Macaca mulatta: one gene and its partner. The main gene of each other region encodes a partner of the protein of the gene in region 2 in a complex. Links are inferred from orthologs where the notes say so. Each region holds a gene or a part of one and is shown on either strand. Other genes may lie near its edges.

Region 1 (7,536 bases), about 25 Mb from region 2:
TTTATGTTTTTTTTTTTTGTAGAGACAGGATGCCACCATGTTGCCCAGACTAGTCTCAAACTCCTGGCCTCAAGCAATCCTCCTACTTAAGCCTCCCAAAGTGGTGGGATTACAGGCCTGAGCCACTGTGCCCAGCCTAGACATTTTTTCTTGTCATTATTCCCTAAACAATACAGTATAACAACTATTTACATAGTATTAACATTGTATTAGGTATTATAAGTAATCTAGAGATAATTTAAAGTATATGGGAGTATGTACATAAGCTATATGCAAATACTACACATCATTTTGTACCAGGGCTTGAGCATCTGACAATTTTGTTTTGTTTGTTTTGAGACAAGAGTCTTGCTCTGTTGCCCAGGCTGGGGTGCAGTGACGAGATCTTGGCTCACTGCAGCCTCTGCCTCCCAGGTTCAGGGGATTCTCCTGCCTCAGTCTCCCAAGTAGGTGAGATTACAGGCGCGCACCACCACACCCAGCTAATTTTTGTATTTTTAGTAGAGATAGGATTTTGCCATGTGGCCAACCAGTCTCAAACTCTTGACCTCAGGTGATCCGCCCGCCTCAGCCTCCCAAAGTGTTGGGATTACAGGCATGAGCCACCATACCCAGCCGCGTATGAGAATTTTGATATCCTGGGAAGGTCCTAGAACCAATTCCCCATGGATATCAAGGGATGACTATACAGACACAGAAAAAAATTATAAAGAAATCTATCAAAATGCTAACCACGGTTTATCTGAGAGGTGGGATAGTGGGTGATTTTATTTTCTTTTTGCTTTTCGTAATAAATAAATTTCCTTCCAAAATATGTGTTACTTTATAAAATTAAAGTCATTTAAACACTTATGAAGTTGATATATTAATGTTCCTTCTTCCTATGGTCACTGCCTTACCTGTGGTTTAATCAGTCTATCAGGCCTACAGGCCTGACTGAAAGTTGCAATCTTCTCTTTCACCCCTTTTCTTAAATCTTGAAGTCTGGCAAATATGTATCAAGAACCTGGAAGAAGTAGAAAAGTAATGAAACAGGTTCCAAGTTCTCTGTAGTAAAAAAAGGGTTAACAGGCCGGGAGCAGTGGCTCACACCTATAATCCCAGCACTTTGGAAGGCCAAGTCAGGTGGATCACTTTAGGTCAGGGGTTCAAGACCAGCCTGGCCAACATGGTGAAACCCCATCTCTACTAAAAATACAAAAATTAGGCTGGGCGCGGTGGCTCACGCCTGTAATCCTAGCACTTTGGGAGGCCAAGGCAGGCAGGAGATCAAGACCATCCTGGCTAACACAGTGAAACCCCGTCTCTACTAAACATACAAAAAAATTAGCCGGGTGTGGTGGCACGTGCCTGTAGTTCCAGCTACTTGAGAGGCTGAGGCAGGAGAATTGCTTGAACCTGGGAGACAGTGGTTGCAGTGAACCAAGACCACACCATCGCACTCCAGCCTAGGCAACAGAGTGAGACACCATCTCAAAAAAAAAAACAAAAAACAAAACACAAAAATTAGCCAGGTGTGGTGACAGGTCCCTATAATCCCAACTATTCGAGAGGCTGAGGTAGGAAAATTGCTTAAACAGGGGAGGCAGAAGTTGCAGTGAGCTGAAATCTCAAAAAAAAAACTCTATATATAGTCAATTTTGCTTCCTAACTTTACTCATAGCAAAGAAAATTAAGTATGTCAAAGGGCATTTAACTCTCCCTCCTCTTTCTCCCAGGAATTCAAAGAGAATTAGGGAAGATAGGCCGGGCGCGGTGGCTCAAGCCTGTAATCCCAGTACTTTGGGAGGCCGAGGCGGGTGGATCACGAAGTCAGGAGATCGAGACCATCCTGGCTAACATGGTGAAACCCCGTCTCTACTAAAAAATACAAAAAACTAGCCGGGCGTGGTGGCGGGCGCCTGTAGTCCCAGCTACTCGGGAGGCTGAGGCAGGAGAATGGCGTAAACCCGGGAGGCGGAGCTTGCAGTGAGCCGAGATCGTGCCACTGCACTCCAGCCTGGGTCACACAGCGAGACTCCGTCTCAAAAAAAAAAAAAAAAAAAAAAAAAGAATTAGGGAAGAGACCCAGAAAAAGCTGAAGGAAAATTAACCAACAGATGTAGACGAACTCTGAAAATCTGGTACCTAAACAAGAAATGAAGGACTCTCTCACATAATCCTGGACAATCTTAACTGCAATAAATTAATTTTATCAAGGTTGAAATACACAGATTTAAGCATAAGGTTAGCCAGATAAACCCTATTCAGCTAATTTGAAAGTCTAAACAAAATTACCAACCTAGTTGAGTACAATCCAGTTTTTCATACCCGCAATTTTGTAGTCAATTCAGATAGTGCCTTCCTGCCTAGTCAATTCAACAGGTATTTAGTGGGTGATTCCTATGTACCAGGATTGTTTCAGTCCCTGTCTAACCAAACTCTTGCTTATCAAGAATTAGGCAAGGGTGGCTTTGTGAAGCACAGAAACACAAACTGGCTCTTGATCTCCCTCACCTCTAAATTGTCCGGACACTTAGAATACAAAACAGTAGAGCACTCAGATGGTGTCCTGTCTTGTTCTGATTCTCACTTGCCAATTTCAAACCATGTTTTTGTCCCCAAACACACCAAAAAACCTTTGAGTTCATCACACATCTGTATACCCATATCTCATGCCAATCTGAGCACGCAGTACCCTCAAAGGACAACTAAATGGCCGAGTTAGCTGAGAGCCACATAATTTTGATCCAAGAATGCCAGCTTAATACTGAACTGACTCATCCATCCAACCAGGGGGACGGACTTAAGTCTGACATGGGGGTGGTGTAATACACTAAGGCCACAATACAAGAACATCCTTATAGTCCTATTTTTGACAACATTTGATGAGTGAGAGAAATTCAAAGAGAGGCCATAGGATGTCAAGAAAAGGTAAGGGTGAACCAGGGAGTAAACCAAGAGCTGGTCTTAAAGCAAAATCTAGGAGTCAAAAATCCTTTTCTATCCTAAGTAGGCCTGATTTGGGGAAGTCCATGTTACTGAACTACCAGAAAATTATATGTGGAAAACAAGACGTTATATGTCAAGAAAATAGGGGGTAAACCAATTCTACAATATTATAACCTGGTTTGGTTTTCCTTCCCCCCTCCAATCTATAAATGTTGAGAAAGGAAATGAGAAAGGGAATAATATCTGGTGATTCCATACAAAAAGAGAGAGCTGGACAAATATGGATAACATATAATGAATTTTAAATCCCAAATAGAAGACAACTCCAAATGGACTTAAACTCTCCCTCAATTATGTTCTCACACCATCTAATCATCTTTCTGTTTTAGATAACAGTTTTGAAATGTCCTTATTTGTGACTACCTCTGTTTTCCTCCATCAAACGCCACACTTCCTGAGGGCAGGGCTACTGTATCACCCATTTCTCGAAATTTATCTAGATTCTGGCCCACAGTTTCCTCCTCCTACCTCCTTCCTCCGTTTCCGTCAAGAGGGACCAAGAATAGCACCAACTACATTGGCTTGGCCAGGAAATTAGATGAGAACGGGCACGCAGGGTACTTAGTTCAGTCAATGTTTATAACCTGTTAGCATGGTAATAATAATTATCGTTACCTTTATTAGACGATAGCCTCCCGCAACTCCTTTTCCCCCCAGTTTCCCGGACGGACTTCAGAGCAAAATCCTGTCGCCAAGAGAAGGGTGGCCCGAAGCCCCCGCTCGCACCCTGCCCCGCCTAGGCGGCGACCGAGCACCGCAACCGCCTCAGAAGCCAGGCCTACCCGCGCGAACTGCGCTAGGAGCTGGAAGGTGAACTTCAGCCATTCCAAACTCCGGGAGGAGGGACACCCGCGCCCCAGCTGCTCCCTCTTTTCTTCCCGCGGCTCACCTAGCCTCTCCTCAGTTCTGACAACGAAGCGCCAGCCAACCCGCCGCGGGACTCATTCAGTATCGTTGAAATTTTGAACCCAGGCAGCCTAGTCGAATGCACCAATCAGAGCTCCAGGAAAGCAATTCCAGGCTCCCGATTGGCCCTACAGAGAGCAGCAATACCGGAAGTCAGAAGGCGGTACCAGCGAACAACGAGGCCGGGAGTTCCCGGGAAGTGTAGTCTCCTGCGCCTGCGTGAGTCCACTGGACCAGCCCTTAGGAGTAAATTACTACGAAGACCGGAGTGCTCTGCTCCAAACTCTTTGGGAAAGGTGGTACCAACTGAAGAGGTGGAAAGTCGACTTAGATCACAGAATGGCGCGCATCCTGGACATCCCCAGGCTTTCAGGGAATAAAACTTTATTTTTAAAAATTATTCTTGTTATGGTTGTGCATTATCCCTTGAAGGTTCAGAGGAGTTCACTCGTCTTAACGTGGAGTCTCCTGCAAGCAACATAGACTCGCCCGTAGCGTCCTTCCCAACCGTGCAAGTGTCTTCTCAAACCTTTTACCCAGGCCCTGCCCTGATCTTGTTCGTTGGGTGCTTTATCCGGTTTTATTCCCAACTGCATTCCGGCTTTATGATCCCCATGTGGTAAAAAGAAAACAAAGGCTCGGAGAAGTTGAACAAACATGTCCAAAATCATATAATAGATGGAGAAGACGGGATTCGAATGAAGAAGGTCTGTTCTTTTTATACATCACCGATAATTAATTAGAGGCCAGGCTTCGTGGCCCTCACCTGTAATCCCAGCTACTCAGGAGGCTAAAGCAGAAGGATCTATGAGACCAAGAGTTCCAGAACAGCGTAGATATCATAACGAGACCACCCCCACCATCTTAATTTTTTTTAATCAATTAGAAAATAGAAGCAACAAGCACAACAAAACAACCCCCTTCATAATACCAGCAAAAGCTAAAGATTCAAAACTTTAGCTCTAGGCTGGGCGCGGTGGCTCACGCATGTAATCCCAGCACTTTGGGAGGCCGAGATACGCAGATCATTTGAGGCGACGAGTTCAAGACCAGCCTGGCCAAAATGTTGAAACCCCCATCTCTACTAAAAATACAAAAATTAGCTGGGCGTGCTGGCGCGGGCCTGTAATCACAGCTACTTGGGAGGCTGAGGCAGGAGAATCACTTGAACCCGGGAGGTGGAGGTTGCAGTGAGCCAAGATTGCACCACTGCACCCCAGCCTGGGCGACAGAGCAAGACTCTTCTCAAAACAAAACAAAAAAAAAAAGGTCGAGGCAATTCCAATGAAAGTCCCAGTGGGTTCTGTTCTGGAATTTGCCAAGTTAATTCTAAAGTTCCTATGGAAGAGCAAAAGCACAAGTAGTGGCATCTTGAATTTTTTTTTTTTTTTTTTTTTTTTTTAGACGGAGTCTCGCTCTGTCGCCCAGGCTGGAGTGCAGTGGCCGGATCTCAGCTCACTGCAAGCTCCGCCTCCCGGGTTCACGCCATTCTCCTGCCTCAGCCTCCCGAGTAGCTGGGACTACAGGCGCCCGCCACCTCGCCCGGCTAGTTTTTTGTATTTTTTTAGTAGAGACGGGGTTTCACCGTGTTAGCCAGGATGGTCTCGATCTCCCAACCTCGTGATCCGCCCGTCTCGGCCTCCCAAAGTGCTGGGATTACAGGCTTGAGCCACCGCGCCCGGCCAGCATCTTGAATTTTGAAAAAGATTGGGGAAATTGACATACCAGATTTTGTACATATTAACATGAAATTATAGTAATTTTTAAAGTATGGTTCAACACGCACGGGGGGCAATCAGCAAAATCCAGACAGGAAAACCACAGGACAAATGATTTAGTTTATTCAAAACATAAACTGCCAAGAGTTTGGTTTTGTTTTCTTTTCGTTGTTGTTGTTTTGTCTTGTTTTGTTTTGTTTGGTTTTTTGAGACGGAGTTTCATTATTGTAGCCCAGGCTGGAGTGCAACGGTTCGATCTCGGCTCACTCTAAGCTCAGCCTCCCGGTTTCTCCTGCCTCAACCTCCCAAGTAGCTAGGATTACAGGCACACGCTACCACACCTGGCTAATTTTTTAATATTTTTTTGGTAGAGACGGGGTTTCACCATGTTGGCCAGGCTGGTCTTGAACTCTTGACCTCGGGTGATCCCCCTGCCTCACCCTCCCAAATGCTGGGACTACAGGCATGAGCCACCACACCTTTTCTTTTCTTTTTTAAGAGTCCTGGCCTGGCGCGGTGGCTCAAGCCTGTAATCCCAGCACTTTGGGAGGCCGAGGCGGGTGGATCACGAGGTCAGGAGATCAAGACTATCCTGGCTAACATGGTGAAACCCCGTCTCTACTAAAAATACAAAAAACTAGCCGGGCGTGGTGGCGGGCGCCTGTAGTCTCAGCTACTTGGGAGGCTGAGGCGGGAGAATGGCGTGAACCCGGGAGGCGGAGCTTGCAGTGAGCCGAGATCACGCCACTGCACTCCAGCCTGGGAGACACAGCGAGACTCCGTCTCAAAAAAAATAAATAAATAAAATAAAAAAAAGAGTCCTTGTGTTGTAGAGATACATAGAGATATGGTAGGGATGAAATTACTCTGGCACCTGCTTCCAAATAATTGGGAGTAGGCAGTGAAGATAAGTAGGTGGGGATTTAGATGAAACAAGATTAGCTACAAAATGATAATTGTTGAACCTGGTGATGGGTTCATGATACATAAATACATACATATACTCTTGTATGAGTTTGAAATTTTCCACAGTTAAAATGAGGTGGTTGCCTGATGCAGTGGCTCACACCTGTAATCCCAGCACTTTGGGATGCCAAGGCAGGTGGATGATTTGAGGTCAGGAGTTTGAGACCAGCCTGGACAACATAGTGAAAACCTGTCTCTACTAAAAATACAAAAAATTAGCCAGGCATGGTGGCGGGTGCCTGTAATCCCAGCTACTTGGAAGGCTGAGGCAGGAGAATCACTTGAATCCGGGAGGCAGAGGTTGCAGTGAGCTGAGATCACACCATTGCAGTCCAGCCTGGGCGACAGAGCAAGACTCTATCTCAAAAAAAAAAAAAAAAAAAAAGGCCGGGCGCGGTGGCTCAAGCCTGTAATCCCAGCACTTTGGGAGGCCGAGACAGGTGGATCACAAGGTCAGGAGATCGAGACCATCCTGGCTAACCCGGTGAAACCCCGTCTCTACTAAAAAATACAAAAAACTAGCCGGGCGAGGTGGCGGGCGCCTGTAGTCCCAGCTACTCGGGAGGCTGAGGCAGGAGAATGGCATAAACCCGGGAGGCGGAGCTTGCAGTGAGCTGAGATCTGGCCACTGCACTCCAGCCTGGGCGACAGAGCGAGACTCCGTCTCAAAAAAAAAAAAAAAAAAAAAAAAGTGGGGGGATGGGGGAGTAGTGGTTGTTGTTGTGGTGGTTGTTTTGTTGTTTTGAGATAGGGTCTTGCTGTCACCCAGGCTGGAGTGCAGTGGCAGGATCACAGCTCACTCTAACCCCAACCTCCCAGATTCAAGTGATCTTCCCACCTCAGCCTCCCAAAGTTCTGGGATTACAGGCATGAGCCACCGCACCTTGTCTAAAAAGAGATATTTTTGCTGGGCACGGTGACTCATGCCTGTAATCCCAGCACTTTGGGAGGTCAA
Region 2 (7,370 bases):
AGACAGACTGAGGCTTGATTTCATTGATGAGGCCATTGGCGATGCTGATGTAGCCGTCATATAGCAGCTGGCTAATGATCAGCTTGTAGAGCTGCTGGCGGTCCTTCAAGCCCACTTTGGTTCTGTACATCTTGGAGAACAGGAAGACAGTTTCCCTGCCAGCTGCAAAAAGGGAAAACGGATGGTGAAGGGTAGAGGCTCTAGCAAATCACAGAAGGAACAGAGGACTCTTTGGTCAGACTTAATCTTGCAGGACTCAAATCCCATCGCTACCAGCTGCATTGTCTTTGGTCGCTGACCTCATTTCTCTTAAGCCTCAGGTTCTTCAGCTGTTAAGTTACTGGAAGTTAAACAAGGTGGTGCATATAGAGCCCTGAGCACAGTGCCTGGCATACAGAAATTATTCAGGTCATGTTAGCCAATATTTACGGTACAATCCCTCATCGACTTTTCTTCCCCCACCAAACTACCTACCTATGATTTTTGTTCTTTATTGCTATCCCAGAATCTTCCATTTCTTTTGTTAATTAAACATTGACTAGCACCTGCAACATGCAAGATAGCTGCTGTTTTGTCAAGGCCTAGACTGCTGGTTCCACTAGCTGGGCTGTATGTTTACTAATATCTTTTATGTTCATTCTCAAAACCTGTTTTAGGGCAACTGAGCTTGTGACTGTAATTCTATAATCTAATTCGACAGTAAATCAAAATATGAAGGAAAAAAAGCAACTGTACTATAAAAACTCAACAGAGTTAAATGCGTTAGAAAGGCTCGAAGGTGAGCTGCCCAATAAAATCCTGCCAATCAAGGTCAAAACAATAAAAATGAAAAACACAGTAAAAATCTGGAAGGACTGTGCATGCACTGATTTACAAGTGTCTAAGTTTTCCTTTAGTCTTAAGAGACAAAAAAAACTGTAAATGGTTTCTGGCTTATTCAAAAAAGAACTCCAACTGTTGAACATGATAATCTGCTTACTAAAAATCAATGCCTTTATGTATGTGTATGTTTGAACCAATATTAAAAGGCTACAGGTGTCTGGGGACAGCAATAAAGAATAAAAGCGACCTCAGAGCCTGATTTCTTTTTTCTTTTTTTTCTTTTTGAGATGGAGTCTCGTTCTGTCGCCCAGGCTGCAGGGCAGTGGCCCAGTCTCGGCTCACTGCAACCTCTGCCTCCCAGGTTCAAGCTATTCTCCTGCCTCAGCCTCCCAAGTAGCTGGGACTACAGGCACGTGCCACCACGCCTGGCTAATTTTCGTATTTTTAGTAGAGACGGGGTTTCACAATATTGGCCAGGCTGGTCTTGAACTCCTGACCTTGTGATCTGCCTGCCTCAGCCTCCCAAAGTGCTGGAATTATGGGCATGAGCCACTGCGCCTGGCCCAGAGTCTATTTCTTATACACTGTACGACACTGATGGTGTTAATAATAACCAACAACATTAAGCACTTCCTGCATGCCAGATACCGTCATGCTAAGTACTTTGTAAGCATCAGTTCACTGAATAAAATCATTCAATGTATTCAAGTATATGAAGTAGTACATGAACATAATAAGTCTATGCTTGAGTAGAAAATCCTGGGACACAATAAAGATGATGAAATGGGTTCAAGGAGGTCAGAACACCTACTCAAGGTAAAAAGTGGCTGAGTTACTTATCCAAGGTTAAAAGCACACCAGAATTGCCAACTCCAGAGCCCTGAGCTTAACCACTGAAGGAGTTCAGGAAATGCCAGCCCAAAGCAAGATGCTTTGGCGGGCTGATTACTTTGAACTGAGGGCACTTGGAGAACAGCAGGCGGGAAGAGGCTTTCCCTGTGCTTTCCTTACCTGCCTAAAGTCTGACCCTCCAAAAATACCTCAATTGTCCTTATTAACCAGGGAAGATTCACTTAGATCATAGGAACCAGGGAAGATTAACTCGGATCACGAGAGGAGATTAGAGGTTGACACCACCCAGAGGATCACCTATTCTGTCTGCATTAACAAACTTGATTCACCATACATTTCCTCCGTTCACCCTCCCATAACTTGTGTTACAGCTGCTGCTTACCATCCTCCCACCCGCCCCCAACCCTCTATTCATTCCTTTCAGTAGCTCAGGATGCCATGTAAGCCTTAATCATCTGACTTCAACTTCTTAGTCTCGTATTTTGTGGGACTCCTGTACATAATTAAATATCGTTTTTCTCCTATGGACAATGTTTAGTGACCCGAAAAAAATGGGAGATTCTTAAGTACCAACAAAGAATGAAAATCACAAGTGGGTAGTCTGGCAAAGAAAAGTTGATGAGAGATTCTACTGTTAATGTCGTGCTAATATGACTTGAATAATTTCCGTATGCCAGTTCAATGCTTTACATGCACATCCTGTTTATCCTGCAGTAATCTGTTAATTTGTCTTATGGTAATTTAACTCTTAGTCTTAATAAGGTACCTAGAAGGATGGAGGGAAGCCATTTTTGGCTCCCCTACACCACTATTCTATCCGGTCTCTTCACTTCTGAGCACATGTCGGGTGTACAAATATATATATACACACACACATTTGTGTGTATATATGTATACATGTATGTGTGTATATATATATATGTGTATATATATATTTTATGGTGGCCCAGTCCTAACTTCTCAACTCCCACAGAACGTTCACTCGCCAGGTAAACAGAAGCCTAATTATCCCCAATTTGCAGGTGAGCACACGGAGACACGAGGACAAGAACCCGATCCAGGACCGGTTACATCGCAGTTGGAAAGGCTAGAACACAGACGCCCCCTCACTATATGCGCCGCGACCATCTGGATGCAGAGGCGAACTAAGGACTGGGTGGGAATGGAAGCGAGGCCCTTTGAGGAAGAGGAGGGGGTGCAGGCCAAGCCGGGCAACTTAGGAAGCACAAAGTAGAGGCGCATGCCATCTTGCTAACTCTGGACTCTTCCGGTCTCGCCCCAGTTGTTTCTGTGGTTTTCGCTAAACGCCCCAGCCGACCGCACCAGCCACTCTCCCCGTGCCCCAGTACCAGCTGGTCCGGTTCTCTCGGTATCCCGCTCTCTCCTGGAAAAATGGAGGCGCGAATCCTGCCCAATCGACCGCTCCGAGCGCACATTCACTGCGCACGCTGAAAGGGCGCCAAGCCGACCGCTGCGCTATCGATCGGTCGCACTCTCGCTTGCTTTTCTCGCCATCTTACTTACTGGCACGTTCAAAAGGTTAGTTCACCCCCTCGGACTTTATCTCCAATGCGACAAGCTTGACGTCAAGGGGCTGCTGCCTCACCGATAAATGGCCGACCCCGGAGAGTACCCTGGGGCTGGCACTGCCACGGGTCTGGCTGGCCGTTGGCTCCGCCACTTCCGGGGTCTCAAGGAGCAAGTGCGCCTGCGCGCGGTGTGCGCCTTAAACGCGACTCAAGGCGTCGGGTTTGTTGTCAACCAATCACAAGGCAGCCTCGCTCGAGTGCAGGCCAATCGGCTTTCTGGCTAGAGGGTTTAACTCCTATTTAAAAAGAAGAACCTTTGAATTCTAACGGCTGAGCTCTTGGAAGACTCGGGTCTTTGGGTCGCAGGTGGGAGCCGACGGGTGGGTAGACCGTGGGGGATATCTCAGTGGCGACGAGGGCGGCGGGGACAAGGGGCGGCCGGCCGGAGTGGCGGAGCGTCAAGTCCCCTCTCGGTTCCTCCGTCCCTGGGTGTCCTTGGCGCTACCCTGTGCCCGCCCAGTGCCTTTGCATCCGCTCTTGGGCACCGAGGCGCCCTGTAAGACACTGCTTGTTACTTATTACAGCTAGAGGTAGAAGGGGTTTGTTGAGTGGTGTTGACACGCGCGGGAGGGGTGGGTGAGCGTCAGATTGGATTTTGTTCTCGGAGATCACCTGGGTAAGAAAAGCACAGAAGGTCGCTGCTGTGTTGGAGTTCACGTTCTAGTGGGTAGGGAGTCAGACGGTAAGCGTACAGAGAACTTGCAACTGGGGTGGGTGTTATAAGGGAAAAGCAGGAGTGCGGTTTAACGGGGGCCGCTTTAGACAGAATAGCCTAGGAAGGCCCTTGTCCTGGCTGGATGAGTGGGTGAATTGATGAATGAGAACCTCCTTGCAGAGGCCTTCCCGGTCCGTACTTCTCAGACCGTAGACCTTGAAGTAGTTATATCGGGATAACTTGGAGAGCCTTGTTAAAAATATAGCTCCACCGAGAGCCCGGAAAATCAGAATCTCTGAGGGATAGGACCCAGGTGTCTAGTTATTAGCAAACTCTCCAGATGATTCTTTGATTTCATTGAGAACTAGGGATGCAGACCGGTGCATGCAAATCGTCTGGGGATGTTAAAATGCAGAATCTGTTTTCCTAGACCTGGGGTTGGGCCTCAGAGTCTCCATTTCTAAGATCCCTCCGGCTGAGGTAGACGTAGCCACTGTCGTTAACTCGTAATGTCTCTTCCTCTTCCTTAACCTTCCTTGTCCCTTGAATTAAACGTTTTTCAGCAACCTACTCAATTCGTCCTTCCCTTCATCTCTGCAGACATGCACAGGTCTGAAGGAGGAAGGAACAAACCCGTATAAACCTCCTGTGCTATTAGCCTAACAGCTTTTCTATTCACAGTGGTAGGATTTCTGGTGTGAACTGAATAGATCCTGTGAAAGTCATCTGGTTGCAGATTAGAGTCACCTGAAGGGCAGTCTTATTGGCGTTGTCTCCAGAATTCTGGATTAGAATCTTATTCCATTCTGCTTGTTACTCAATTTCCCTAGAAAGAAAAGTAGAATAAATTGGAGCAAATGCCTGTAGCTTCTGTCAGAAGAATGTTAAATAAATGTTGTTAGGCCTCTGTGATCTCATTAGACTGCTACTTGTAATTGTAAGGGAAGTAAAGCATTAGAGCATGTGTGAAATTAAATGATTACACAAGTGGGCATTTCCTTGCTGCTGTTTATTAACTTTTTAACTTACCCACTGTTTTTTCATAAGGGCTCCCGCCTGTAGTCTGGGCCTAGCTTCATCATGGAGTTATTTGCTTAATTGTAAAATGGCAATTTTAATTTTTTTTTGAGACAGGGTCTCACTCCGTTGCCCAGGCTGGAGTGTGGGGACATTTGATAAGAAACTTCAGTGAAGGCTGCGCATGGTGGCTCATGCCTGTAATCCCAGCATTTTGGGAGTCCGAGACGGGTGGATCACCTGAGGTGGGGAGTTCCAGACCAGCCCAACCAACATGGAGAAACCCCGTCTCTACTAAAAATACAAAATTAGCTGGGCGTGGTGGCATATGCCCGTAATCCCAGCTACTCCGGAGGCTGAGGCAGGAGAATTGCTTGAACCCGGGAGGTGGAGGTTGTGGGTGAGCCGAGATTGTGCCACTGCACTCCAGCCTGGGCAACAAGAGCAAAACTCCATCTCAAAAAAAAGAGAAACCTCTGTGAAATGAAAGACTGAACTACACACCTGGGGGAAAAGCCTAATAAAGGGAGCAAGAAGTGCAAATGCCTATGGCAGGGGACTTGTTTGAGGAAAGAAAGAAGCCTTGTGTGGCTGGTGCACAATCGAGAAGAAGAGATGAAGTCAGAGAGGCAGTTAGGGTCCATGTTCTGTGAGACTTCAATAGGCCTGTCTATGCAGGTTAGGAGTTTGCATTGTTTTGATTGAGTTGGGGAGCCATGGGGGTCTTCTGAACCAAGGACCAACACATCTGACTTGTTAATGAGATTGTTGGCCTCAGTGTTGAGAATGGACCATAACGGGGTAAGGTTGGAAGTCGGGAGGCCATTGGGAGGCCGTTGCAAAAAATTCAAAGGAGAATTACGGTTTGACCAGGTGGTAGTAGTAGAGGTTCTGAGCAGTGATCTTGAAGGCAGAGCCTACAGAATATGCTCGTGGATTAGATGAGGGGTTTGAGAGAGAGAGAAACCTCTTAAAGGGTTATTATGCCAAGGCTTTTGGCCTGAGCAACTGGCAGGATGGATTTGCCATCAACTGGGATGAGGATATCTAGAGACTAGATTTGGGGAGGTGAGAGTGTGGAGGGATTAGGACTTCTGTTTGGGACATGTTAAAATGGAGATGCCTCTCAGATAATCAGGTGCAGATGTTGCGTAGAAAGTAGAAAATGTAGATCAGGAGTTCAGAGGAGAGGTCTGGGCTGAAGAATGAATATTTGGGAGTCCTCAGCCTGTAGATGGTATTGAAAGCAAAGAGACTGGATGTACTTGGCTAGGGAGTAATTGGAGATGGAGAAGTCGTTCTAGGCGTGAGCTCAGGGCACACCCATGAACAGGGAGGTGAGAAGTGGAGAAGGGAAGCGGTTCGGTTTTGGATATGTTAGGATTGAGGTGCCTGGCAGACATTTCTGGGAGATCCTGGACAAATCCTTGGATATCCAAGTCTGACAGTCCAAGGTGAGATTGGGGCAGAAGATGCACTTTGAGAGGTCCTCATGAAGGCATTTAGAGCTGAGGCACTCGGTGATATGGATTCCTGTGAAGGTGTAGATGGAGAAGTGGAGGGTCCAGGGACTCATTCTTTAGTCACCCCAGACCCTTGATCGGGCAACAATGAGAGTGACCCAGCAAGGAGGGAAAGATAGGATGACTAGGTGGTAGATAAACCTGGAAGTGAAGTGAAGAAAAAGGTGTAAGATGTGATCAACCTTGTCGGATTCTGCTGAGGATGCAAGTACGAGGAAGGTGGAATTGACCCTTGGGTTTGGCAACAGTAGGTGTCAGCCATGAGCCTGATGATGTGGTGGAGGCAAAAAAGCTGGGTGGGGATGGGCTCAGGGGAGGGGAGAGGAGGAGTAGAAGTGGCAAGTGTGGATGGTTCTTCTGGAGCTTTGCTGTTGGAGAGGAGGGGGTCATGGTTAGCAAAGATAATACAATAAAGAGGACTATTTTATTCTATTTTTTTTTTTTTTTGAGAAAAAGTCTCACTCTTGTCCCCCAGGCTGGAGTGCAATGGCATGATCTCAGCTCACTGCAACCTCCGCCTCCTGGGTTCAAGCGATTCTCCTGCCTCAGCCTCCCAAATAGCTGGGATTACAGGCGCCCGCCACCACACCCAGCTAATTTTTGTATTTTTAGCAGAGACGGGGTTTCACCATGTTGGCCAGGCTGGTCTCGAACTCCTGACCTCAGGTGATCCGCCCGCCTCGGCTTCCAAAAGTGCTGGGATTACAGGCGTGAGTCACCATGCCCGGCCTAAAGAGGACTTTTTTAAGGTAGCAGGTATGCCAGCAGGCTGCACAGGGATGGAAGTGATCCGTTAGAAGAGAGATGATGGAGCCGCAAGACCATCAGGAGTGAAGACTCCGTGTGAGAGAGGATGGGATGCAGTGCCCAAGGGGAGGTTGGCCTTGCGGGGAAAGCACATGTCTGGCCCTC

Evidence for each region.
Region 1: the proteins of AURKA (region 2) and TPX2 are in contact, whole or in part, in a crystal structure (PDB 3HA6), measured with the Homo sapiens proteins. The link is inferred for Macaca mulatta from reciprocal best matches to the Homo sapiens genes AURKA and TPX2. Residues at the interface, in NP_001310232.1 of Homo sapiens: Lys125, Arg126, Gln127, Trp128, Asp132, Glu152, Gln154, Ser155, Phe157, Leu159, Lys166, Glu170, Gly173, Glu175, Leu178, Arg179, Val182, Glu183, Ile184, Ser186, His187, Leu188, Arg189, Tyr197, Gly198, Tyr199, His201, Val206, Tyr246, Ser249; in NP_036244.2 of Homo sapiens: Gln3, Lys5, Ser6, Ser7, Tyr8, Ser9, Tyr10, Asp11, Ala12, Pro13, Ser14, Asp15, Phe16, Ile17, Phe19, Ser20, Ile31, Asp32, Trp34, Phe35, Glu36, Lys38, Ala39.

The regions. Positions count from the first base shown.
Region 1 is NC_133415.1:84,561,811-84,569,346, reverse strand, and holds the start of TPX2 (targeting protein for Xklp2), read right to left. Parts: upstream 4,310-7,536; 5' UTR 3,881-4,309; exon of another isoform or gene 3,607-3,880; intron 3,576-3,606; exon of another isoform or gene 3,460-3,575; intron 1,007-3,459; 5' UTR 900-1,006; intron 1-899. UniProt on the Homo sapiens protein: Spindle assembly factor required for normal assembly of mitotic spindles. Required for normal assembly of microtubules during apoptosis. Required for chromatin and/or kinetochore dependent microtubule nucleation.
Region 2 is NC_133415.1:109,158,048-109,165,417, reverse strand, and holds the start of AURKA (aurora kinase A), read left to right. Parts: upstream 1-3,354; 5' UTR 3,355-3,569; exon of another isoform or gene 3,570-3,945; intron 3,946-7,370. Other genes in the region: CSTF1 (cleavage stimulation factor subunit 1), read right to left, coding at 1-130. UniProt on the Homo sapiens protein: Mitotic serine/threonine kinase that contributes to the regulation of cell cycle progression.